Linked DNA regions of Mus musculus. The protein of the gene in region 7 purifies or fractionates together with the protein of the main gene of each other region. This does not show direct contact. Links are inferred from orthologs where the notes say so. Each region holds a gene or a part of one and is shown on either strand. Other genes may lie near its edges.

Region 1 (3,500 bases), on a different chromosome or scaffold from region 7:
GTTAAACCCCACCTATATCCGTGCAATACTGAGGAGAGCTGAATTATATGAGAAAACAGACAAACTAGATGAAGCACTGGAAGATTATAAATCAGTATTAGAAAAAGATCCATCAGTACATCAAGCAAGAGAAGCTTGTATGGTAAAACAGATTTTAAAGTATCGTCTCGGGCTGGGGGTAGTGATGCATGTCCTTAATCCTAGCACTTAGGAGGCAGAGACAGGTGCATCTCTGTGAGGTCAAACCCTGCCTGCTTTATATGACAAGTTCCAGGACAGCCAGAGCTATAGAATGGAGACCCTGTCTCCAAAAAAAAAAAAAAAAAAAAAAAAAAAAAAAAATCAGAAGTATTTCCCGTTTCTTTTGCTTTGTACTTAGTAGATCTTTAGTCTTCCCAGTTACAACTAAATTCTATTTTTATGATTACCAGAATAAATGAGAGATAGGTCTTTGTGATGGCTACTTACTCACTGGGACTATGTACCATTTGATCTCCACATATATGAGCCAGCATGACAGCACACTCCTGTAATCCCAGAACTGGAGGGGAAAGAAACCTGATTTTGAAACCAGCTGGACTATATAGAAAGAAAGACCTATCCCCCGAAGTTAATTAAATAAATAAGCTGTGTAAGCGTTTCTTTTTACATCGGGGTTATTTTGTTCGCTATAGTTACACAGTTTAGTGAGTCTACTAGAATTTTATCTTATTTTATGTGTATGAGTATTTCGCTTGCAAGTATATCTGTGAGCCACATAGTGCTTGGTGCCTATGGAGGTTGGAGGAAAGCATCAGATCCCTAGAAATGAAATTGATGGGTGATTATGATCTACCCTTTTGTGATCTATTTGTGGTCTTTGTCTATTTGTTTAAGATCGTGTCTCATTCTAGCCCAAGTTGACCTCAAACTCATCATCATCTTGCCCAAGCCCCTTAGTTTGGGGTTTTTGAGACTGAGCCTGACTGGCTAGTAACTCTCCACTTAAGCAGACTGGCCTCCAGCTCTCAGTCGTCCTTCTGCGTGTGTCTCACAAGTACGTGGATTACAGCTGTGTGCACCACAACTGACTCAGTCACAAACTTGTCCTAAGGTCTGCCTTTGATCTGGACATTGTTTCCGCCTGAGAATGTGATGGGGCAGCTCAGCAGGTCAAGGCTTGCTGCCAAGTCTGATGCCCTAAGTTCAGTTCCTAGAGCCCACATGATGACAGGAAAAAGTCCGACCCCAGAAAGTTATTTTCTGATCACCACATAAACACAGAGACACACAAAAGAACTGAGCGTTAGAGAAATGACTGGTTATGAGTACTCCCTACTCTTCCATAGGACCCAGCTCAGTTGCCAGAACCCACTCAGGTGGTTTACAACCACTCACAACTCCAGCCAGTGGCTCCCACACACTCTTCTGGCACAGACACACAGAAAAAGAAAAAAATAAACCGTTATTTTTTTTTTTTTTTTAAGAGAACTGAGAATCTTGTCAGATTTAGTAAGAATTTCTTACCAAATGCTTGTTTCTACTTTTTTCCTCAGAGATTACCTAAGCAAATTGAAGAACGTAATGAAAGGTTAAAAGAGGAGATGTTAGGTAAGTTTGCTTCCATGACTTTCTCTCTTGATCATAACAGCTAGGAGACTAGGGTAGAACCATAACTGCTTTCATTTGCTTAGAGAAGAGCGGTTCAGAGTCTCTGAGGTGTGTGCATGAGTGTGTATTGTTTAGACTGGGGTGTGTGTGTGTGTGTGTGTGTGTGTGTGTGTTGTTGAGACTGCTGCTTTGCAGCAGTGCTATAGCGGGACAAAGCCTGCTTGGCTCGGCTGATTTTTAATTTCAGGAAGCACAGTTGGCTTAGAGAGGGATCAGCGTTTTCAGGACCCAGAGTTCTACCTTGGCTTTCACCTGATAATCTCAAAGCCCAGTTGAGTCTTTCCATTGCGTAATCAACGCTTAAGGTTTTATGTTTATATAATCTGGAGTCATTAGAGCCAGTAATGTCAGAATAAAGTGAGTTTGGGGTTGGAAATAGCACTAAAAATCACATTAGTGATTGGAAAGACATGAAAAGTGTGTGGAGTAAACATAAGGGCCGGACGCTGAGGCAATTCCTCAGAGGACCGGAGTTCACAACCCATGTTTAAAATAGGCAGGGTGGAATACATCTGTAACCCTGGCAGTGGGGACACAGAGACAGGAGGACCCCTTGACCTCTGTGGTCTGCTACTCTCACTGGATTGGAAAGTTCCAGGTTCAGGGAGAGACAGGAATAGAGGGTACCCAGTGTTGACCTCTGCACACCAATGCACATGCCCACAAAATGGGCCAGGGGTAGGAGGGGCATTTGGGGCATGGATTCTCTTAGAGTTGCCAGAACGTTTCGTAGTTGGAATCCGAGCCTCTTGATTCCTGCTTTACTAAGGACATTGCATTGTCTGTCTAACCTTTCTCATACGACCCTGCTCTGAAGCTGCTGCACCTTCCTGATGAATACATTCTAAAATGTATTTCTTTTCTTTTTTTTTTTTTTTAATTGGTGCCTTGGTATTTTCCCTGCATATATGTCTGTGTGATAGTGACAGATCCCCAGGAACTGGAGTTACAGACAGTTGCAAGCAGCCTCTGGAAGAGCAGCCAGTGCTCTTAACCGCTGAGCCATCTCTCCAGCCCTCTTTTTAAAATTTATCTATTTCCATTTTTTAGATGAATACATTCTAAATCTTTGATGTGCATTGCAAGGGCATAGACCTACAAGAAAATGAGCATAGAGTACATTAGTTTAGCCATATGTAGTTTAATAACAGTATCTAGAGAGTGTGCGTAGACTTCCCAGTAGATCATTCCGGTAGATGAATTAATGGACTTTTTTTACTCTTAACATCTTTTTGCCCACAAAATTTTTACATGATCCTATGCATACAGTTATGCGTGTATGTGTGTGTGTGTGTGTGTGTGTGTGTGTATCTCAAACATTCATTGATAACAAATCATAAGCTTTATTTGAAATAACTATTTAAGGGGCAAGAGAGATGGCTCAGTAGTTAAGAACATTTATTGATCTTGCAAAGAGCTTTTGGCTCCCAGAACCTACATGGCAACTAACAGCCACCTGTAATTCTATCTTCAGAGGGTCCAATGCTTCTGTGACCTCTTTGGGCTCCTCATGCACATACACTCACACATACATGTAAAATAAAGGTAATCTCTAAAAATGGTAATTCTTTAACATAATTTAGCCTGTCTTCAATGTAAGAGCAAATTTGTGTAATGATAATGAGAAATGCATTTTCCATAGAGAAACAAAACTAGGCTGAAGCATTGCCGCCGCGGGACGTTAAGCATAGTCGTTGTTTTCAGAGTGGCTCGATAGTACGGTTTTAGGATTATCAGTGCTGAGTTTGACACCTGACATAAATACATTCTACACAGTGGCAGGAGTATGTTTAGTGCCATTGGGAAATGTTGCCCTAATCTCAAACCAAAATGACCTAATTTTTTAAAGT
Region 2 (4,210 bases), on a different chromosome or scaffold from region 7:
ACTCTTTACAGCTTCTTGTGACTTGAGTGGAGCAGATGAGCCTTCCAGCCAGAGGGCCAGGTTCCTTAATGAAGCCGGGAACTCCACAGTGGTAAGAACAAGAGAATAAACTGAGGGTCAGCACATCTTTGTTGAGGGTACAAGACTCACACTCATCACTGCCCCTCTCTGCTCCTTGGGAATGGGAGGTAAGGAGGTGACTCAGGTGCCCGAGGTGGGCAAGAGTGCCAAGCAAGAGCAGGTATGAACCACAGTGTTCACCCAGTGTAAGGCCTGATGAGGACTTTGAGGCTAGAGGTGAAGGGTTTGAGTCTGGGGATCAGTGGTGAGGACTCCAAGGATGCTAACTAGGCTTTGAAGCTTTGAAAGCAGTGAATGCAGGGCAAGGAGGCCTTACTGGAAAATGAACAGTGAGGACATGTCTGGAGGGTACAATGTTGCCATTAGCTTGTCCTCATTAGGTTAAGGCCAGGGTCCACTGGGACTCAAACCAGCTCTATCCTGACCCAGAGATGGTAAGTAGGCTAGAAAGACAGGGCAGTATTGGCCTGGTGTCCTGAAACAAGAAGCTTCAGGAAGGAGCCCTTTGCCAAACTGCACCTGACATCCTGCCCTCAGATAAGGACCTAATGGTCTCCATCACTGGGGAACAGCCAAGAGCTGCGTTTGAGCACAGCTTGGTTCTCTCTACCCTTTTCTGGCGCAGGGTTCAGGCATGTGAGGTGCACCAGGTTCTGCTAGGTGGGATCCCAGCAAGCAGTTGGGCTCAGGACTAATCTGTATCTGGTCTGTGCACATGGAGAGCAAGAGTGTGGAAGCAGTTGGAGCTGGAGCTGGGCCTCGGCCCACGACCCAACCTTCAGTCTACAACTGGACAGCTGAGCATCCCACCCGCAAGACAGAACCGGGCCAGAGATGGACCAGGATCGCCAGCGGGACTGGGGGGCAGAGGAAGACTTCCACGAGGCTTAGAGGCAGCAAATTGTCCAGCCTTGCGCCGTCTGAGGAGATGAATCAGCTTCCGGCTCCGCCCCCGGGGCCGCACGTGACCCCAGGTGAGGGTGGCAGGGTGGGCGGGACCGCCCTTAGTCACCGGCGGTCCAGCCCGGTGCCACCACCAACGCCTGTGGTTCCTCGGGTCGTCCGGTCTGCACGGCGCCACCTGCTTGGTAAGCAAGTCCCTCCTCCGGGTTTGCGAGCCTCACTTGGGCTGGCGTCCCGGCTCTTACTCCGGACTGGGGCGAGGGTCCCCGTCAGCCCCAGCTTATTCCCAGGATTCCGAGAACCTCAGGCGGATCCCAAGACAGAGGCAGAGGACAACCGCGGCCCTGGACGGCTCTGGCTAACCTCGCCACGCCTCGCTCCGCCCACACACTACCCGCCACGCCCCTTCCTTCGCCACGCCCCCGCCCGCCCTCTGACCCCGACCGCGGTCTTTTGCTGATTCCCTCAGGTGCGGTTCTCAGAGGCGCCGAGGCCCCGGAGCCTGAGAGCGCGGTGCCCGTCGGGCCGCGTTCCCACAGCGAGGGCCACCATGGCCTTCTCCCAGGTGCAGTGTCTGGACGACAACCACGTGAACTGGCGATCCAGCGAGTCGAAGCCCGAGTTCTTCTACAGCGAGGAGCAGAGGCTGGCCCTGGAGGCCCTGGTGGCCCGGGGTCGCGACGCCTTCTACGAGGTGCTGAAGCGCGAGAACATCCGCGACTTTCTTTCGGAGCTGGAGCTTTCGCGTATCGTGGAGGCCATCGAGGTGTACGACCCGGGCTCTGAGGACCCGCGGGTCTCGGGCCGCCGCCCCGAACCCCAGGACAACGGAGGCGCGGATGCCAGCGAGGAGACCAGTGCGGCGGGCGGGCCCCCAGCCACGGAGACGCTGCCCTCGCTGGAGTATTGGCCCCAGAAGTCGGACCGCTCCATCCCGCAGCTGGACCTGGGCTGGCCTGACACCATTGCCTACCGAGGTGTGACCCGGGCCAGCGTCTACATGCAGCCACCCATCGACGGGCAGCCGCACATCAAGGAAGTGGTGCGCAAGATGGTCAGCCAGGCGCAGAAGGTGAGGCGCCACGGCGAGACCCCCATTCACCCAGCACGCATGGGCACCGAGACAGCCCCTGGACCTCTGACTGGCCTCTCGGTTGCCTCCTCCGGTGATCAGAAGCTGAATGTCCACTCCCTCTAGCAGGTGGCACTGGGCTTCCAGGCTGAGTGGGCTTCTGTGCCCTCCTGGAGTGTTTCTGAGTTCCCCAAATGCAAACCATGAGCTGTGTGGGAGGAATGCGGCCTTTCTCTCACCCACTCTCCCTTATCTCGTCTCAGACCCAGGAGCAGATAGAAGCTTGCACACATACATGAGCTTGCTGGCAGGGGTCTCGGGAGAGACGTGGAGGCTGGTCTGGAGCCCTGAGGAAATCTGCCTGCTTCCTAGCTGTGCTGTGTGGCTGGTGGTGGTTCTCCAAGCTTTTCTCTGAGTGCTACAGTAGCAGCAGCTGTCCAGGCCAGAGCAGGTGGTACCTATTGAAGGTTTTCACCAGTGGAAGAGGTGAGGGTATTTACTTAGGTTGTGGTTTGCCATCAAGAGGCTCTTCAGGCCTTGTGTGGATTCCCTTAGCTGACAGCCGTTGACTGGGCTGCACAGTGCCCGGCTTTGGGTGACTGCTCCATACTGACACACACACATCTTGAGAAGCTGTGTACAATGCTTGTACAGACAGTCAAACCATAGCTGGGTGGCCATGAATGAGCAGAGGTGTGCCTGATTTGACAGGCAAGGTAGCCCAGCAAGTTGCGATATATCTAGAGCAGGTCTGTCTTCAGGTGGTAGTGAGAGTGTTCCTACCTGGGTCTGACCCCTTCACTGTCCGGGTCCAGAATGAGGCAGTCAGTGTACAAGGCCAGGTGTCTACCCTGGGGACTGATCTGGCTGACAGGGCCTGGGGAGCTCTTGGGCAGAGACCAAAAGTGGGTCAGTAGCTGAGGTGGCTCAGCTTTCCCCCAGAGTCGAGGCTCTGTCCATGGGGCCACTAACTGAGGGTTTCTAGTCTGTAGGTACACTTTGCATCTCTAGCCATTGTGATGGTAGGGTATTGGGTGGCAGGAAGGAGGAAGGACTGAATAATACTCTGGACACCTGAGAATAGTTGGGAGTCTGTTGCCCCTAAAAAGGGCCAGGGGTGACTCCCACTGTGGCAGAGCCCAGTCCCTTGAGAGGAGGGAGAAAGACTGAATGGGGCCCAACCTGCTGTGCCAGTGCTCTTACAGCAGGAAGGAGGCCACGTCCACTTTCCAGCTTGGCCTGGGAACAGCTACAGGCTCTAATCTTCTGCAGACAGAATGACATAGGGCCAGTCAATGATAAGGACAGATAGGGGTGCCTGGGGCCAAGTTGTACCCTTAGGGCTTCCTGTCTACATCATTGTGCCCACAGCTGTGATGTAGCCACTCCTTGCAGACCCATAGCTTCGTTTGCACCCAATTCCACTCCCCCAGGTTTGTTATTGATGGCACCTGTCTACAGTGACAGAAAGACATTGATCTTAGTGTGAGCCCCATCTGTGTGTGTGGCACCAGAGTGGGTGACTTCTGACTGCCTATCGTGTAGAGGCATTGCCCTCTGCTACCTACACCTGGCGCCTGTACCCCACAGCAGGGAGTCCCATAGGAACCTCAATTGACAGAGGGCATGTCCATTTACAGAGATCAAGAGTTTGTTTACACCCCCACCATGCTGTCTTGGGCCAAGCCCCTCCCCTGTGGACCTGTGTGAGTCCCTGTTCCCCGATCTTTGTCTTATGGCCCACACAGTACGTGGGAAGGCTGTAATAATAGCTTTGGTGGAGTATGAACACTTTATAATCTCAGGTAGTGTTATCTGCCTCTTTTTTTCACATGGAGAAACTGAGACCAGACTCATTAGTTGTCCCTGCCCAAGGTCACTTAGACCTGTTGCACTCTGGGATCTACCCAGGCGTTGTGGTACCTGGTAGCAGTGACAAGCAGGACCTGGGAGGAGCAGCTGACCTAGGTGGCTTGAGTCTTTACTCCTCGCTACTGCTTCCCAGCCTCCTGGGGCAGGCCCAGACGCCGGTGGATGCTGACAGAGCGATTTGCCCGCCCTCTCCTTGCTCCTCCCTGTAGGAGCTCTTCTGTCTTCTCTCTCACCATGAGTCACCTCTTGCCCTTCTCGCCCACCTCCCCTTTTTACCCCATG
Region 3 (3,500 bases), on a different chromosome or scaffold from region 7:
ATGGAAATGGAAACCTGTGTCACTTAAAAGCCCTGCACAGCTATTACATCATTACGGTAATTCAGTGGTGCAGGGACCGCCCTCAGCAAAAAGCGCGGCACTTGCTGCCCAGGTTGAACACGAGCACTGCACAGAGAAGCGGTGACAGCCAAGTCCATACAACTCTCTATTTATTTGTGAATGAGCATTTAATAACGCTCCCAATGAAAAATGGTGCAATAAAGCAACTTTTAGTATAAAGAGACAAGAAGCTGTGAAGCAGTGGCCACTGGGCGCTGCGGCTAGGGAGAGAAAGCAGTCTGCGTGAGTGAAGCATGGACTGGGGAGGAGGCACAGGAGGCGCGGGTCAGACGGACAGGGACACGAAGCTGTTGTACTGCTGGATGTTCCGCTTGAGGATGTCTGAGCACGGGCCAAGGACGCGTTCAAACCGAGGCCGGTCCAACTTAACGCACTTCAAAGGGCCCCGGGCAACCACAGTGGCAGCCCGAGGACGATTCATCAGCAGGGCAATTTCACCTGGAAAAGAGACAGTAACGACTATCACCTATGGAAGCTATTTCCTTAAAGGGTCCACTCCTGAGCAAGTGAACAAAGATGCAACTTCCCTACTAACTTAGTAGAGGCCACACAACATTTGTACATTAAAAAGTATTACTAGCAAATAGATAACACAGCCCCTACAGTCATGCCTACAAACCAACACTCATGAGCCAGAGGCAGGAAGGTGACCAGTTAGAACAAGCTTCACTGTACAATGAAGTCCAGGCAGTCGAGGCTATGTAGGACATAAGCGCAAGTGCGTGTGCGCATGCATGCTTGGTCTGTGCTCATCTATTAACTGAATAAAGTTAATGTTACAGTACTTCTCTGAGAAACAAGAAAGAGTATAGGTTAAGAAATCTACCAGGTATCATGACTATAACCCCAACACTTAGGAGGCTAACTAAGGCAGATCTAAGAAGGCCGGTCTGCACTGTTACCAAAGACCCTGTCTCAAAAACAATAAAGGCAGGGTGTGGGGGTGCCTACATTCAATCCCATCACTCTAGAAATGGAGACAGGTGGGTCTCTGAGTTTGTGGGCAGCCTGGTCTACAGAGTGAGTTCCAGGCCACACTCTGCCCCAGAACTAAGTAAAGGAAAGAAAACAAAACTAATTATGGGAAACTACACTGTCCCACAGATCCTTAAACCATGTATTTATGAAGAAATTTAACATACCAAAATAATCAGAAGGCCCCAGTCGTCCCACTTCAACAAATTCTTCGTTTTCTGACCGACGCTGCAGCACAGCAGCTGTGCCCTGTAATCACACCAACGCAAGAAGCTAAACACACGGTCCTAACACATACTGTGCAATCGCCGGTTCCTGAGTGAACTGAGCAGTTATTTCAACGCTGACTTCCACTGAACCAGCATCCACCCCGCTATCAAGGCTCGTATCAAGCTCAGGCACTTACAAAGGAGTTCAGACTCCGGTGAGTAAAGTTTACGTAAAGGGTCAAGCTCAAGCCTGCTGCATCTTTGGAAATAAGATTTTAAAGACTATCACACTCAGGGCTCACATCTCCATGGCTGCATCTGCAGTGCGACAAGAGTTCAGACTCTGAAGCTGCCATCTGGACCTGCTTGGCAAGCAGGATGATAGGGAGATGTTTCAGTAACAGTGACTTTTAGAATTGTCAATCATTACTAACTAGCCTAAGCACTTTGGCTCAGAATCACCGTATCTGTTATGGCTGAGGGGCTTTTTAGTGTAGTAGAGAGCCATCTCACCAATCATGTCTAGGGCCCTTGCAGGATTCTGACTCTAATTCTTTAAAACTGTAGCAGACTATACACAGCAAGCTGTATTCTGAAGTAAAAGATAACGACTAAATAAAACTAAAGCTACAAATCAGAACTGGCTGCCCCTCCTTTAGGTGACGCATGGTAAGGAGTCACTCGCAGAGCTCTCTACCTCTAAAATGATGAAGAACTCATCCCCCGGCTCTCCTTGCACCACGATCTTCTGTCCATCTTCAAACTGGACAGGCTCCAATGCATCGGCTACTGTGAGACGCTCCCACTTGTCCAGAGACTCTGAAATAGAAGAATCAAAAGAATTCTCTATATATCTGCTATTGCTAAAAAATAAAGTAAAAAAATAAAAGTTGAGCAAAACCAAACTCTACAAAGATGCTACCAACTAGAGTCCCCACTGCACATCCCAGGAAAAGCCCCGGGTGAAGGCAGCCACAGCACATGTGTCCTCAGCACATGAAGGCCAGCCACAGCAGCTGTCCTCAGTGGCTCCAAGCCTCAGCAGGACTCGCCTACTTCTGCAGACGGCCCTCAGAGCCTTCCTTTTACTGTGTTAGCTTTTATAAAAGTGCTAAGAAAATGCAATTCTCAACATTACCATCAAGCGAGGCAAACCTTCACGTAACTAAAGAAAACAGCTTCCCCATGCACACCATTGCAAAGGTTCAAAGTAGCTTTATCCATATAACGGCTCAGCTGAGTTTACCTTGTGAATGACAAGGAGCTAGAAAATACCTTTTGTTTCCAAAGACCCAACTAATATTCTGAACACTAAAACAAATGACAAGTGAGGTGAGAAAGTCTGCAACGAAGCAAAGGCAGACTGTCACCTACCCGCTCACCACACAGGGCAGGTTGGAACATCTCCAGTTAATGTAAGGAATCTATAGAGATATGTCAATTGACAAGCTCACTTTTAAATTCCAACAGGCGTGGATCTTTTCAAAAGAGGCCACCAAAGACATATAACTGCTCAGACAAAACCCATCAGAAGCCATTCCTAGGAATCCTAGGAACAGCAGCACAAGCTGCAGTAGCAGCAGCTGTGACTATCCAGAGCATAGACACTCCTGTAAAAGGAAAGGGCAGCATCTACGCAGTCACGAAGCTTTTCCACACCTCATTATGGAGGTTTAAAAAATTACCATTTACTTTACCAAACTTTCAACACTGTCAAAATGCTGTATGATCATGATTAGCAAAAGCGAAAACAGTAAAAATTTGAAATTGAAAACACACATGAACTACAAGACGTATGTAAAAATCTGTGCAAGTACCACAAATGCTCGAGTTTATCAATTCTCCATATAATTCTCCAACTCACCTAAAATAGACACTTTACTAAGGAATTCTTCATACATCTTCCTCTTTCGCAGAGTGCTTCCCTATAAATAAAAAAGTTATGTCCAAAAGAGATGTGATTATCACACAATGTTGCTCAACAATTTATGTTTACATTTTAAACAAACTAAAAGAAAAGTAAGCAGGAAGGCGTCTGCTCCTGCTTCTCGACTCTGACCCATTTTCTCTGTACTAAGTGTGAGCCCTGCACTCTGTACAAAGCTCACTGCGAGGCTCCTAAAGCAGGGGCAGGCACGCAGCCCACGGAGGGGCACGGCTCTAACAAGGAGCGAAATGCCAAGCAGTTCTCTCACGGCACCCAAGTGGCTAACAAACGACTGCCACTGAGACCTC
Region 4 (3,500 bases), on a different chromosome or scaffold from region 7:
CTGTAGCGTCGTGGCCCCGCCCCTCGACGTCTTCACCCCCTCACCCCCCTCGACACCAGAGCTAAAGTCGGGCTGTCTACGTTTCAGTCCTAACGGTTGCCGCGCGGCGCTGGCCTCCGCGCAAGCGCGACCTGACACACTCACACGCACGCACGCACGCACGCGCCCGAGGCGGTGGTTAGAGGCTCTCCACGCAGTGGACTAGGGATCGGGCGGGTAAGGCGATGGGCGAGGCTGAAACACCTTCCTTCGAAATGACCTGGAGCAGCACAACCAGCAGTGGCTACTGCAGCCAGGAGGACTCGGACTCGGAGCTCGAGCAGTACTTCACGGCGCGTACCTCGCTGGTCCGCAGGCCGCGTCGGGACCAGGTGGGGAGCCCGGGGGGTGCCGCCGGCGGGTGAGGGGCGGTCGCTGGAACCCCGCCCCTCCCCGGTAAGTTGCGGCCTGGAAAGTTAGGTGATGGGCAGCCTCCCCGCCTCTCCATAGCGAGCCACTCGGAGGGTCCTGACAAAAGCGAGGAAGCGTACGTAGGGTTCTCTGTCCCGAGTAGAAGCCCAGTTCCAGCGCGATGGTACTGAGGACCCAGGCTACCCTGCCCTTGCAGTCACAGACCGGTTGAGCCAGGGGGAAGCAACTCTGAAGCTTGAAGGGTGGACCACAGGCGGGCGTTTTTCACCCATGACTAAAGCCAGACTCGCAATCCAAACCGGCGTCTTGATTTCGCATTTGGGCGCTCCCACTCCCTCCCTGGGGGAAATGAGGAAGTGGAGGAGGAGTCCACCGGGAAGTGAGAAGTTAGTTTGGGAGGGGACTCTGGCCGTGCCGTGATGCGGTCTTGGATCAGCCAGCAAAGTGCCCAGCCGTTGCTCGACCAACTCTTTGACACCAGCTGCTGGACTCGATCTTTCTTTCCTCCATGGTGGAACTGTGCAGAGGGATTTGGGGAATTCAGGAAGAGGGCCTTAAAAGACTATTAAAAAAAAAAAAGTGTGGTACCAGGGCAGCTGAACCTCTTTAAAAAGTCTAGATGTGCCCAAATTATCCGACTTTCTGGGAATATCATAGTTGTGGCCACCAAGCTCGGATAACTTGTTCTGGAGCGGGAATCCCTCGGAACAGCACAGAGGCCAGCGAATCAGGAAAGTGAGGACGGAGACTGAGGTTAGAAAACTTAGTAGCACTGAACTAGAACTCCTTATTTGAGCCAAGAAAGTGGAATTGTCTGTGATGCTGTAGGTGAGATTTGATATAAATTTCCTACAGGTGGACTGCTACTTGACACCTCCAAAACCTTAGTCCAGACTTTAGACTCAATGTGGGGTGGGAGTGGGGGCGGGAGGGTGTCTCTGGGATTGTCTCCATACCACTCAACCTGAGTCATCTTCTATTATGGAGAGGTGGGGGAAAATATAAGATACTGGCCAGTTGAAAGGCATACAAAGAGAAGAATTGTTTAAAAGCAGCTGAAGTTTATAGCTGACTTAGCTGTAGAGTGCTTAGCATTATATGTGTGATGGATGGCCTGACTTCCAACCATTAAGGAACCAAAAAATAAGAAAGAAGAAAAGGAAGCTAAGAAGTCCCAAAGAGCAGAGTAAAAGCCTGAGGGCTGGGGCTGGGCTGCAGGTTCAATCCCCAACCCAGACCCTCCTAGAATTCTCCTGGGACCAGGCACTGCCTAGCGGTGATCCCAGCTGTGTTTGTTCCAATTGCATTCCAATTTAGGGCCTTTCTGAAACCAACAGGAAGTAAGACTCACACTGGGAGTTGAGGACTGACTGCTCTTCCAGAGGTCCTGAGTTCAATTCCCAGGAACCACATGGTGGCTCACAACCATCTGTAATAGGATCTGATGCCCTCTTCTGATGCATCAGAAAACAGCTACAGTGTATTCACACATATATAAAATAAGTAAATAAATCTTAAAAAACAAAACCAAACCAGGAAGTAAGACTCAGGCAGTTAGGTCAAGTGAGTCCTGGCTGCCCTGAGCAGCAGGGTGACTCCACCCTCCCGCAGTTCCTGAAGAACCTTGTCTCTGGGCTAAGTCTTCAGACAGCGAGGGGGAAGAACAGCAGCCTCCCTGCTTGCTGCTGGTAGGACAGGCTCTGCTGGGAAATTGCCTGTACACCTCTGGCAGATGAGAACCTGGATTGAAGCTGCCTTCTATGTAGCTTGAGTCGGGGGGTAAATGGTATGTCCCAGTGTTACTTCACTATATAAGATGTGGTGTGGCTGGTCCCAAGAAACCCACTAAGGCATCTTACATTACAGAGATCAGCTTTCCTCTCCTGTCTACTGTAGTTAGACTGCTGGTGCACCAGCTCCCGTGCTGCCTACCCTCTCTCGGGTCATGTTCTGTGCTGCTGCACTGTGGGAGAGTGGGCTTTCTTCTCCAGAACAAACTGACCAAACTAGTGTTCTGGGTTCAGCTCTACAGTGGAGATGTGATTGTGTTGTGGTTTTAATTTTTGTATGTGGTGGGGGTGGAAATCAAAGGGCCTTGTACATTCTGGGAAATTACTCTATCACTGAGCTACATTTTATCCCCCAAAGTGTTTATACTTTAAACAAGATTTTTCCCTTACAGTCCTTCATGGTTTCCTGGCCCCTGGACATGTGCCTTCATTTATCTGTTTCTGTGATGTCGTTAGGGGCCACAACCAGTGCTGAGGTGGCCCCAGATAGCAGAAAGCCAAACGGATTCTACCTGTCCTTGCTCTCTCCATCTATAGCATGTAAAACCAGGAGCAATGATGGCTTCAGGATGTATGGGTTTGGTGACAGGACCAAAATCAAGTTCCAAGCCAGAAGGACCATCCCCATCCCCACCCCACCCACCAAAGAGCCTTGGCCTTTTCAAGGGCCCTGTATCTATGCTGGCCTGTCTTTCAGGATGAGGCTGTAGAGCGGGAGACACCCGATCTTTCTCAAGCTGAGACTGAGCAGAAAATCAAGGACTACAATGGCCAGATCAACAGCAACCTCTTCATGAGCCTGGTGAGTTGGCTGTTCAGGAATGTGGGAGAACAGAAGCCCAGCTCTGGGCCAGATGTCCAGAGAGTCAGAGCAAAGTATTCTGGGGTGTACCCAAGCAGCTATCTGTGCAGACCTGGCTTTACCCTGCCCCTGGACGACTCAACCTAACTCTTCCATCTCCAGTAGAACTTCCTGACATGGCATGGTTCTCCTTTTCCTTTCTTTCTTTTCAGAATAAGGATGGCTCCTACACAGGCTTCATCAAGGTTCAGCTGAAACTAGTGCGTCCTGTTTCAGTGCCTTCCAGCAAGAAACCACCTTCCTTACAGGACGCCCGGAGAGGTACGGGGCGGAGCACAGCCGTGAAGCGCCGCACCTCTTTTTACTTGCCTAAGGATGCTATTAAGCATCTGCATGTTCTATCACGAACACGGGCACGTGAGGTCATTGAGGCCCTGCTTCGAAAATTCATGGTCGTAGATGATCCTCGCAAGTTTGCACTCTTTGAGCGAACTGAA
Region 5 (3,500 bases), on a different chromosome or scaffold from region 7:
AATCGTATACATAGCTGTTGGATCCTCGTAGTTTAGAGTTCTTGTCAAATTCTTAAGTTTGTCTTGCAGCAGATTCTGATGGGTTTATTTTGATGGAAGATTCTTCTTATGTACTCTTTAAGTATGCAAATTTGCTGTTAACAGGTTTTGCTTTGTTTTTCTTTTGTAAAATTTAGACTCTCTACAATCAGTTCAAGTCTGCGCCTTCCGACAGTCTAACATACAAACTGGCCTTGTGTCTTTGTATGATCAACTTCTACCATGGAGGGCTGAAGGGAGTGGCACATCTCTGGCAGGAATTTGTTCTTGAAATGCGTTTCAGATGGGAAAACAACTTTCTGATTCCAGGGTAATAATTTTAATTTCCAGTTGTTTAGCTAGGATTTTTTTTTTATCACCAAATATCTGACTTCTTTCAGGAATTCTTTGTAAGAAATATGTATCCATCTTTACTCAGGTGTTCAGTGCAGTACATTTCTAATGGAAGAAAAGGCCAGACAACCTAAATGTCAACATTGTGCTGCATGACTGTAAAGCTTTCTTCTAGAGTCGCTTATTGCTTTGTTTGAGGTGGGGTATTGAGACATGAACCCAGGGCCTCATGTATTCCAGGCAAGTGCTCTGCCACTGAGCTACAGGTGCATACCTCAAGAACCTTAATGTAGAAACTGTGCGTGTTGGGCATGGTGGCAGATGTTTTTATTCCCATCACTCAGGAGTCAAGAGGCAGAGGCAGAGGCACAGAGAGGCGCAGAGAGGCAGAGGCGCAGAGAGGCAGAGAGAGAGAGAGGCAGAGAGAGAGAGAGAGAGGCAGAGGCAGAGGCACAGAGAGGCAGAGAGAGAGAGGCAGAGAGAGAGAGGCAGAGAGAGAGAGGCAGAGGCAGAGGCGCAGAGAGGCAGAGAGAGAGGCAGAGAGGCAGAGAGAGAGAGGCAGAGAGAGAGGCAGAGAGAGAGAGGCAGAGGCACAGAGAGGCAGAGGCAGAGGCAAGAGGCAGAGGCAGAGGCAAGAGGCAGAGGCAAGAGTCAGAGGCAGAGGCAGAGGCAAGAGGCAGAGGCAAGAGGCAGAGGCAAGAGGCAGAGGCAGAGGCAGAGACAAGAGGCAGAGGCAAGAGGCAGAGGCAGAGGCTCAGAGAGGCAGAGGCGCAGAGAGGCAGAGGCGGACGCAGAGAGGCAGAGGCAGAGGCAGAGGCAGGCAGATCTCTTGTGCATTGAGCTCTGCATAGGAAGCTCCAGGCCAGCCAGAACTACATAGTTAAACCCTGTCTCAGCAAACAAACAAGATTAAGTCATAGAAACTGTATTAGTAACTAGGTGTTGTAATACAGCACAGAATGCTTTCAATTATGCTGATATGTAGGTATAGAAAAAAGATTGGAGAGAAATACAGTCAAGTGGTAATAGTTTTCCCAGGTATGAAAGTACATTTTTGTTTGTTTATTTGTTTCATCTTTGTATTTCTTAAATTATCTATGCATATACTTCTATTTGAAGAAAAATACCTTTAAAGTACTCTATAATTTCAGGCATTAAATATAATCTAGAATCTCTTTTTTAAAAAAGATTTATTTATTTCATTTTATGTGAATACACTGTCTTCAGACACACCAGAAGAGGGCATCAGATCCCAATACAGATGATTGTAAGTTACCGTATAGTTGCTGGAAATTGAACTCAGGACCTCTGGAAGATCAGTCAGTGCTCTTAACCGCTGAGCCATCTCTCCAGCCCCAATCTAGAACCTTTTTATATTGACATTTTACTGATTGCATAAACTCTTAACTATGCATACATGCCAATTACTGCTAGTAGGCTAGTGGTTGTCTACCCATTCTAAGGAGAGGATGATATGACTAGTTTAATGGCCACTGACCTGAAAGTGTTTTGTGTTAGGATGTTTTGCCAGTCTCTGTTTATCTGGATTCTCTCTTGGCTGTTACTGTTTTGCTCTGGAACTTATTGGCATACAGAAGCACACTGAGTGGAGGAATTTAGTGATTTAGAACCAAAGGGAGTCCAGGATCTCACTGGCAAAGGCGATGTAGAGACAGACCTTGGTTTGTTTAATGAGAATCTACCTATGTACATATGAGTTTTGTTTGTGTGATATGCAAAGTGCTGTACACTAGTTACTTCCTGTGGTGAGTTTAGACTCAGGTTTCTAACTAGCTTGGAAGCTGTTATGAGTTTGCCCTTATATATCACATGGTTTTTATATTTGATGACGATTGTGAGATAGGATAAAATAATTTTGAACTTTTAATCATAATCTGGAACCTGGCTTTCTTAAGTATGGAAATCTAGTTTTGGTTTCTTAACAATATAGTTTAAAAAATTGACAATGGGGCTGGAGAGATGGCTCAGTGGGTAAGAGCACCCGACTGCTCTTCTGAAGGTCCAGAGTTCAAATCCCAGCAACCACATGGTGGCTCACAACCATCCGTAACGAGATCTGACTCCCTCTTCTGGAGTGTCTGAGGACAGCTACAGTGTACTTACATATAATAAATAAATAAATCAGTTCCCTGTCTTAAAAAAAAAAAAAAAAATTGACAATGTGTAAGTAGGCTTACGTGATATAATTTTACTAAAACTTAAGCTTTCTTTTCCTATTTGGTAGACTAGCAAGTGGATCACCAGATCTAAGATGCTGCTTACTGCATCAGAAACTACAGGTAACGGTTTTCCATAGCATGAGTGCACACACATTTACATCATTTACATATATATATATATATATATATATATGCAAAACCTGACGCTTAATCTAACACTTAAGTGTAGGAATGACTTATATAGGCTACTTTCTTTGGGCTGCTTATGGGTTGCTTATAATCCCTGTAATCTGTCTTGGTAAAGTAGAAAGAAATACTGAAGCAATTGATACATATTGCTGTACTCTAGTTCAACCATAAATGCTATTTCTGTTTTCTTCAGATGTTAAATTGTTGTATTGAAAGGAAGAAAGCACGTGATGAAGGGAAAAAGACGAGCCTCTCGGATAGTACGACTAGTGCATATCCAGGGGATGCTGGGAAAACTGGAGGCCAGCTGGGCCTGGACCATCTCAGAGATACAGAGAAGGAAAAGGGAGAAGTAGGGAAGTCCTGGGATTCCTGGAGTGATAGTGAAGAAGAGTTTTTTGAATGCCTCAGTGATACGGAAGACCTTAAAGGAAACGGACAGGAGAGTGGTAAGAAAGGCGGTCCCAAGGAGATGGCAAACTTAAAGCCAGAAGGCCGCCTGCACCAGCACGGGAAACTTACCCTGCTGCATAATGGAGAGCCTCTCTACATTCCAGTGACCCAGGTAGGTGCACCAAGGCTTGCAAACTCAGCTGCCTTTTGTTGTTGATTAGGTCCTTCCTAGAGGAGATGATTGCTTTTGGTAGGAGAGATTATTTAAAGTCTTTGATTAGGTTTGGAACTTTCAGTTCTGCCAGTCTGAAATTGCATAATCGTTTGAAGCCTTAGTAGATGGTATTGACCTTATATAAGGTGATT
Region 6 (3,956 bases), on a different chromosome or scaffold from region 7:
AAAGCAGGGAGAGGTCCATGAGTAGGCGATACAGACTTCCTTTCGCTGAGGTGAAGAACTTTGTTGCTGCTAGCTCTGTGCAAAAGTTTCGGGAAGACTCTTGCCTGAGGCTGAGCCTTTGATAGACTAAAGAGGGAGTGTAAGGCTGATTAACCTGGATAGGCTGAAGGAGTCAAAGCCCAGAAATGGGTGTGTCCCGTAGAGGCCCCTTGTGTGCTTTGTTTCTATGGGGCAGTGGATGGGGCACTTAAGTCCTGGCTGGCCTAGGGGTGGAACTGTCTAGTGCCCAGTGTGGGTGCTTGGCTGCAGACTGTGGGAGAAAAACAGGCTTCAGGGAAGGCCCAACAGTCCTCTAAGGAGCCTAGCCCTCACCCTAACCGTCAGCAGGGAGGAAGTGGCCTCGCCTGGAACTGAGCTAGGGAGCCGACTGCTCTCTCCAGGACCCTACCTTCTAGGCCCCATCTAAAACGACTGACCATCTCCTGTGGATCCCCTGACTGCAGTGGGCAGAAACCACAATTTAAATGTCTCAGGAGGCCCGCTAATTAGAATGTCAGCACTTCTGTGAGAAAGTGTTAGGGGGACACACTGCTTTCTGCCAGGCTCCCCACAAACTCTGCTTAGCGTTTACTGGCAGGTGGGGTTTGCAGGTTTAACGGATCCTTTAGTGCTAAAGGACAAAAGCTTTCCTCTCTTGAGACTAGAGCAGATGCAGGCATCCAGCATCCCTGGAGTTGGGAGCTGATGGAGAAGTCCCCTCTCATCTCTGCGAGACTTCGTTCTAGGTTTCTCAGTCTCCTGGGTCCTGGTCTTCCTTGCTCTCCCTGTCCTCACAGACTCTAGCCAGCTCCGATTTCCTTGAATTTCTCTCTCTCCCAAGGGTGTTTCTGCCCTAGGAGCGCCTCTTTCTGGTGCCTTGTCTCAGGGTCACTGCGCCCCAGGCTCGCAGTCCATGTCTTCATCCCTGCCTGGCCCGCAGCGTCTCCGAGCTGTAATCCGGAGTCTGTCTACGTCTGTCTTTCAGCGAGGGTCGGGGTCTCAGTGGCCGCAATCAGTGGGCTGCGCCTCCCGCGCGCTGCGGTGGCCGCGCGGCTCCGGGCGGGGGTGCGGGCCCGCGGGGGCGGTGTCGGGCGCCTTCCGTCGTCAGTCCCTCCCCGGCGGCGCGGAGGGGGGGCGGCGCGGTCGCCGCTCGGCTCCTTTAAGGGAGCGGGAGGGAGCGGCGAGGCGGCGGCGGTTGCGGTGGAGGCGGCCGAGCGAGCGGGGCGGGGGCGCGGGGCGCGGCGCCCGGAGAGTCCGCTCCGGCCGAAGGCGCCGGGGCCCGGCCGGGAGCGAGCAGCGCCGGCAGCACAGCGGAGCCCGCCGCCCGGGACATGGCCAAGGCGGGCAGCGCAGGTGAGCGCGGCGCGGGGCGCTCGGCGGGTGGCGGGAGGGATCGCTCGGCCCAGGTGAGCCCCCCAACCAGGTGGGCGGAGGCACAGTGACCGCGGCGACCCGCCCGGACCCCGGGGCGTGCATAAGGGGCTCCGCGCGCCCTGCGTCCTTCCCGCGCCCCCAGTCACCTCGTGGGACACCGCATCCCGCTTGCCCCGCTGCACTGGGTCAGGTCCACGGCTCCTCAGTCCAGTCGGCAGTTCGGAGCTGTCGCTGCCCTCCGGGAGACCGGGGGAGTAGACCCCGGCACCGGAACCCAAAGGGGATGTCCCGCGGTCGCTGATCCATCCCACGCCCCAACAAACCAGGACGCGCCCCCTTGTCCTGTCACTCTCTATCTTGGATGCGACAGTCCCCCGCCCCTGCCACCAGCTGGGTTAAGAGACCCAGATTACTGGTCCCGTCGCTGGAGGGGTACACTATGGCTGGGGAGCCTCCCCGCCTCCCACCTGACCCAGAGGCAGAGCCTCAGGTGCCGGGCTAGGCAGGCGGGGCCTCTGTTGGGGTCCCATGGGCTCGGCTCTCCTGCAAGCTCAGAGCTGTAGCCCAAGGATCCCAGGGAGTAGGTGTTAGTCGTCCCTTCATTCATCCAGTCAGGCGTTCATTCACCAGCATCTGCTCTGATGTCAGGCCCTGTGAGTTGGTTAGGACCTGGAGGGGACCAGGTTTAGCCCCGGACTCCCCACTCTGTGCCCTGGACCCCTACAGTGCCCTAAAAGGCCAAGTTGAGGAAAGCCAGTGTTCATAGGGCTGGCCACAAATGGATGAGGCTGGTCTCAACAGTCCTGAGCTTGGGAGCTCTGGCGTGTGAGAATCTGCCATGAACTCACTCCCAGCCTGTGACGTTGGCAGGTGCCATGCCATCCCCGTGGGGCCTGGTGTGAACCCCACTTCTCCACCCATAGGCATGGCAAAGATGGAATGAACATGACCACCTGCCCGCACTCTAGATGTGAGTGCCATTGAACTGCCTGCGACCCTGGGACAGGTCCCAATCCTTGGCATGGACTGGCCTTGTGACTCAGGTGTGGCAGAGGAATCCTGTGAGGGAGAGGCTGTTTGTGTGAGACAGCATAAGCAAATGCATCTAAACACCCCCTTTCCCACTTCCCTCCCCTCCCCTCCCGAGGGAGGCACAGTGAGATGACACCAGGAGGCTGGAAAAGGCTCTCTGCTCCCTTCTTTCTCCTGCCTTGGTCCCTCCCCACCCCTGCTCTTCATAAAGGAAGAGCATGCGTCTCTGCTACCCATTCTACATGTGCTCATGTGTGAGCACAGGTCTGGACGTCCGGATCCAGGTCTCTTGCCAGGGCACCACAGTAGCAAGAGTAGTTAGAGAAATCTCTTCTTGACCTGTGTACCAGGTAACATACTTAAGCCCTTTACTGCCCCATGATTCTGAGAAGTAGGAAGGTACTCCCCTTTTAAAGCCCTTGGAAGCAAATAGCTCCCTGAAGATGGCTGGGAGGGTCTAGGTGAGCCTGGATGCAAGACCAAGGTTTTTTTTGGTTTTGTTTTGTTTTGCTTTTGTTTTTTTGGATGCTAAGGAATCTTTCTACTCCCCTCCTCATTCTGGGAGAAGGGCAGCCCCAGGTCCTATGAATTGGATTGTGGGTCTTTTGGTCCCTAGCTGAGATCCATGGGGAGAGTGCCCTGCAGAAGGTGAAGAAATGGCCAGGCCTCCCAAGACTGCTGCCTGGGGCTGCTCTACAACTTTTCCATTTCACAGTCTCAGTCCTTTCCCTCAGAGCAAGCCAGACTTCCCTCCTCTGTGACCACCTGCCTGGTGCCTCTCTGTCTCTTACTCAGCTGCCACCCCAAGGAGCTCTGCAGATGACCTCTGGCAAGATCTGACCACGCTTCTCAACTCTCCTGGGCAACGTGGCAGCCTGCAAATATCCCTTCTTTTCTTTAGCTACCTTAAACCCAGTGACTTAAGGATGCAGAGTATGGAGGAATGCCTGGCCTCTCTCATCAAGCACATTTACCTTGAATTATATAGCTTATATATAATTCAAGGCCAAGTTCTTCTATTCATAGCTGAGGAAACTGAGGCCCAAGAGAGAAAGATGGCAATTCAGTACCATACACAGACTAAAAGGCAGAAGGATCAGCCCTCCACCCTGAGAGGTGAGAGGAGACTAAAGGGAGGTTGTAGGAAATCTTGCCTGCGAGTGAGGGGGTCTGCTTCCTGATTTGTGTGGGATTTCCTCTGAAAACCGGCCAGTGGTCCGGCTACTTAAGGAGGAGATGGGCTTTGGGTCCTGGCGCTGTTGTAACCGATGCCAGGCTGTATACTCTACAGTTCCACCATCACGTCGTGGTGGTGAATGGTGGTGCTGGAGCGGCACGATGAACATCCTGAGCAGCCAGCCAAGGCTACAGCAGCTGTGCCAGGAAGGCAGTTCAAGGACTTTCATGTAGCTCGGAGAATCCAGGCACAAGAGAAAATGTAATCAGATCCCAGACAGGATGAGATTCATTTGCAGAGAGTGGATCCAACTTGATTATTACCAGCCTTCAAG
Region 7 (3,500 bases):
TCAGAAACCAACAATTGGGTAGCAGCAAAGAGTATAAGATCGCCTACAGAAGAAAGGAGTGGCATAAAATGAAACAGGCACTCCAAGTAAAAGCTTATTTCTCAAGGCTTGAACTAAGTTTTAAATTTTCCCACTTTTGTGAAATTGTTTTTTTTCTCATGTTAGGCATTAGGCACATTTAGTCTGTCTTTAAAAAGTCTTTGTCTCAGACAGTTTACCAACACTCAAAGTTTATTGTACATGGTTGGTGAATTTTCTAAATCTAGATTTCAAAGTATGACTGTTGCAAAGTTTTAAAAAACATAGTCTTTGTTTATGACTCAAACAGGTTAGAAGGTGACTCTGGTTCAGGGAGCTTGCAGCCAAGCTTGAAAATAGTTCAATCCCTTGAACCCACATGGTAGGAAAGCATTGATCCTGATGATGCTGTGCATGTAGACATACAGTCTAAGTGACAAATAAGGGAATGAAAAAGGCTAGATAAAAATAGGAAGGCTTTTATAATGTCTTTTCCTTCAGGCTTCTTGACTTTTCCCTCCCTTTTTGGTGCTGGTGGTTGAATGTGGGACTGTAGCCATGCTCCAGTAGTCTTCTTAGTGCTCTAGTTAAGATCATCAATATCACTCCTTTGACAAATAAAAAGCAAAAGCATAAAATAGATGTTTAAAAGGCCATTTAAAACCATTAAACAAGAAAACCATTACAAGACCATTAAAACAATTAAAATGCCTTCAAAATCAACAAGAAATTCTTGCTGTGAAACTTAGACTGTATAATCTGTTTTGGCTTTTCAGATGAAACCAAATAAGTTTATCTTCACATCTCACAGCCCGTTTTAAAAACAAAACAAAAAACTGAGGATATACTGGTTAAGTAGAGCTGGGTCAGCTTTTTGAATTCGTTTTGTTGAGTACAGAATTAAAGCTTTAAGACAAGACTTCGTATTTAGATAGAGCATATGACATACCACTCATAAGTACTTAATACACGTGCATGAATGAATTGAGACAAGTGAGTACTGTCAGGTTTTAGTTTTGTAGTTGGCCTGTGAACGTAAAGATTAGCACTGGTGAAGACCACTGGGGGACTTGTGTCAGTCATGTGATGTGTTATGAACATGCTATATGAGTACAGTTTGGCTGACAAGATGGCTCATTGGATGGAGATCCTTGTTGCTAAGCCTGAGGACTGGAGTTGGATTTTTGGACCCCACATAACGAAAGGAGGGCACCAGTTGTAAAAAGTTGTCTTCTGATCTCCACATACGTACTGTGACATGTACATGTTCATATGTGCAACACAAACATGATAAATGTAACCAAAATTAAAGAACAAAAATCATAGTTATTTTATGGATGAAATCATCAAAAGTTGAAAAAAAAGAGAGACAATTTTTGTTTTCTTTAGAAAAGTGGGATTGAGATTATATTAACTTAATCTTGAATTATGCTTTTGTTGTGACTCCAGTTAATCTTTTCTCTGTCTGCCCCTTACCTTTCAGGCCCCTTCACAGATGTAGTCACTACAAATCTTAAATTGCAAAATCCATCGGATAGAAAAGTGTGTTTCAAAGTGAAGACTACAGCACCTCGCCGGTACTGTGTGCGGCCCAACAGTGGGATTATTGACCCGGGGTCAATTGTGACTGTTTCAGGTAGTACTCCATGTCCTAGACCTTTGTAGGTTTGAATATTGACATTTCATGACTGTTGCATTTGATGTTTAGTGTTTTTATCTGTTTATTATTTGGCTTCAGTGTTTGTGTAAAGATGTTCCTTGGGTATCTTACCGTACAGACATTTTATTGAACCTTTCCTCCTCGAGACTTACGTGGGAGTGTATGATTGCCTAGGGTCAATTTGAAATGTTATCTATTCTGTATTTCCACAGCTTTCCACTGTAGCTTGTGTTCTTATTTATCTTTGAAATGGCACTGTTTTGTGATTAAATCATGTTCTGTGCATCTACAGAAGCGTTTGAGTCTTAAAAAAAAAATGCCTGTTTTGGGCCTACTTTTAAAATCAGATGAGTTTTTATTCCTTTCAGTGTAAATGACAACAGTGTCTTGTTCCTTGTTTATTGCTTACAGTAGTTCCTTCCATACACATCACGTATTCCTGCTGTGAGATCTACTGTGCTATCCAAATGTTCCTTTCTTAGACAGCCTTTCCAAGGAGACAGTACTTTGTAACACGTGCCATAGGTGGCAGGTCTGACAGCATGTGTGGCTCCATGAGACTTTAACTTGTGGGAAAACCTCTCTGTGCTCACACAGACTTACTCCTTTTTTTTTTTTTTTAAAAAAAAACAAAACAAAAAAAACAATAGCTTTCAACTCCTGCATTTGTTAATTACAAAAGGCTCAGGAAAAATGGATTATGTCATTACAGATCATGGAGTTAGAAATGTGTGTATTAAAATTCTTGGTGACCTGATAACTTAGGTGATCCCTAAATTTTAAGATAACTACAGCTTTTATTTTCAAGTTTATAGAATATTAAAATAGTAAGTTATTTAAGGCTCAGTGAGACTGTTTAGAAGTAGAACCTGACTGTAAATGTATCCAATATACATTAGTAATTACTGATTTGTTTATCACCTCATCTTGGATTTACGTAACATAAATTGAACTGGAGCCTTAAAACTTGGTACAGGCAACTCAGGTCTGGAGACGTAAAAGTGAATGCTATTGGGATCTGGGAATAAAGTCTAAAGACCAATCAGTTATCCTTTGTTTTCTTAAAATTAGATTTAAACAAATGAACACATTCTGAGTAATTGTTTAAAATCCAGTTTAAAAATAAGTTATATTAAAAGTGTCTAAGTTATCTAAATTAAAATCAACACAAAATGAATTTAATAATAATTGAAAGTTAAAAGGCTGCTTGTGCCTCTTGAGGATAATTTAAGTTTTTGAACCCATCTTGGTATGCATTAAGTTTGTGTGTTAGTGTGGTGGTATTAAATAGGACGTAAACTGTAGATGACAGTGTGCTTTCTCTGTTTATTTAGTAATGCTGCAACCCTTTGATTATGATCCGAATGAAAAGAGTAAACATAAGTTCATGGTACAGACAATTTTTGCTCCACCAAACATTTCAGATATGGAAGCTGTGGTAAGTGTAGAAGTTGTACAGAAGTTATTTTTGGAAATGTAGTTTAAACTTTGTTTAGCTCTCAACAATCCATATTTCCTTGCCAAAAATTAAATATCAGAACAAAATTAAAATTTAAACAATTAAAAGGTTTTGTTTTTTGATATATATTTTTTTCCAAGGCATGATTCGGCTTGTTCTGGAACTTTGTAGACCAGGCTGGCTTTGAACCTACAGAGATCCTCTTGCCTCTGCCTCTTCCATTGCTGGGATTGAAGGTGTGCTCCACTCACCATGCCTGAAATACTGTTCTTTAGAAACCATTTAGACATGCTAAAGTGGAGAAGACAGTCGTGTGGATTGCTTGCTGATGCTGTTGTCACGTTTTTCATCACATTGTTTTAT

Evidence for each region.
Region 1: the proteins of Vapa (region 7) and Ttc1 purify together in Homo sapiens (affinity purification with mass spectrometry; 5 studies listed by BioGRID and IntAct, counting the BioPlex papers as one, with this or other methods). This does not show direct contact. The link is inferred for Mus musculus from reciprocal best matches to the Homo sapiens genes VAPA and TTC1.
Region 2: the proteins of Vapa (region 7) and Fam83g purify together in Homo sapiens (co-immunoprecipitation; 3 studies listed by BioGRID and IntAct, counting the BioPlex papers as one, with this or other methods). This does not show direct contact. The link is inferred for Mus musculus from reciprocal best matches to the Homo sapiens genes VAPA and FAM83G.
Region 3: the proteins of Vapa (region 7) and Prkar1a purify together in Homo sapiens (affinity purification with mass spectrometry; 3 studies listed by BioGRID and IntAct, with this or other methods). This does not show direct contact. The link is inferred for Mus musculus from reciprocal best matches to the Homo sapiens genes VAPA and PRKAR1A.
Region 4: the proteins of Vapa (region 7) and Rassf1 purify together in Homo sapiens (co-immunoprecipitation; 3 studies listed by BioGRID and IntAct, counting the BioPlex papers as one, with this or other methods). This does not show direct contact. The link is inferred for Mus musculus from reciprocal best matches to the Homo sapiens genes VAPA and RASSF1.
Region 5: the proteins of Vapa (region 7) and Rab3gap1 purify together in Homo sapiens (affinity purification with mass spectrometry; 4 studies listed by BioGRID and IntAct, counting the BioPlex papers as one, with this or other methods). This does not show direct contact. The link is inferred for Mus musculus from reciprocal best matches to the Homo sapiens genes VAPA and RAB3GAP1.
Region 6: the proteins of Vapa (region 7) and Pitpnm3 purify together in Homo sapiens (co-immunoprecipitation; 3 studies listed by BioGRID and IntAct, with this or other methods). This does not show direct contact. The link is inferred for Mus musculus from reciprocal best matches to the Homo sapiens genes VAPA and PITPNM3.

The regions. Positions count from the first base shown.
Region 1 is NC_000077.6:43,734,509-43,738,008, reverse strand, and holds part of Ttc1 (tetratricopeptide repeat protein 1), read left to right. Parts: coding exon 1-142; intron 143-1,535; coding exon 1,536-1,590; intron 1,591-3,500.
Region 2 is NC_000077.6:61,683,000-61,687,209, forward strand, and holds the start of Fam83g (protein FAM83G), read left to right. Parts: upstream 1-1,410; 5' UTR 1,411-1,534; coding exon 1,535-2,056; intron 2,057-4,210. UniProt on the Homo sapiens protein: Substrate for type I BMP receptor kinase involved in regulation of some target genes of the BMP signaling pathway. Also regulates the expression of several non-BMP target genes, suggesting a role in other signaling pathways.
Region 3 is NC_000077.6:109,664,449-109,667,948, reverse strand, and holds part of Prkar1a (cAMP-dependent protein kinase type I-alpha regulatory subunit), read right to left. Parts: intron 3,191-3,500; coding exon 3,130-3,190; intron 2,085-3,129; coding exon 1,963-2,084; intron 1,306-1,962; coding exon 1,224-1,305; intron 520-1,223; coding exon 347-519; 3' UTR 1-346. UniProt on the Homo sapiens protein: Regulatory subunit of the cAMP-dependent protein kinases involved in cAMP signaling in cells.
Region 4 is NC_000075.6:107,554,555-107,558,054, forward strand, and holds part of Rassf1 (ras association domain-containing protein 1), read left to right. Parts: intron 1-28; exon of another isoform or gene 29-224; coding exon of another isoform or gene 225-371; intron 372-2,898; coding exon 2,899-3,003; intron 3,004-3,215; coding exon 3,216-3,500. UniProt on the Homo sapiens protein: Potential tumor suppressor. Required for death receptor-dependent apoptosis. Mediates activation of STK3/MST2 and STK4/MST1 during Fas-induced apoptosis by preventing their dephosphorylation.
Region 5 is NC_000067.6:127,927,773-127,931,272, forward strand, and holds part of Rab3gap1 (rab3 GTPase-activating protein catalytic subunit), read left to right. Parts: intron 1-176; coding exon 177-349; intron 350-2,617; coding exon 2,618-2,672; intron 2,673-2,934; coding exon 2,935-3,306; intron 3,307-3,500. UniProt on the Homo sapiens protein: Catalytic subunit of the Rab3 GTPase-activating (Rab3GAP) complex composed of RAB3GAP1 and RAB3GAP2, which has GTPase-activating protein (GAP) activity towards various Rab3 subfamily members (RAB3A, RAB3B, RAB3C and RAB3D), RAB5A and RAB43, and guanine nucleotide exchange factor (GEF) activity towards RAB18.
Region 6 is NC_000077.6:72,133,090-72,137,045, reverse strand, and holds the start of Pitpnm3 (membrane-associated phosphatidylinositol transfer protein 3), read left to right. Parts: upstream 1-1,156; 5' UTR 1,157-1,370; coding exon 1,371-1,392; intron 1,393-3,956. UniProt on the Homo sapiens protein: Catalyzes the transfer of phosphatidylinositol and phosphatidylcholine between membranes (in vitro). Binds calcium ions.
Region 7 is NC_000083.6:65,593,056-65,596,555, reverse strand, and holds part of Vapa (vesicle-associated membrane protein-associated protein A), read left to right. Parts: intron 1-1,501; coding exon 1,502-1,654; intron 1,655-3,012; coding exon 3,013-3,116; intron 3,117-3,500. UniProt on the Homo sapiens protein: Endoplasmic reticulum (ER)-anchored protein that mediates the formation of contact sites between the ER and endosomes via interaction with FFAT motif-containing proteins such as STARD3 or WDR44.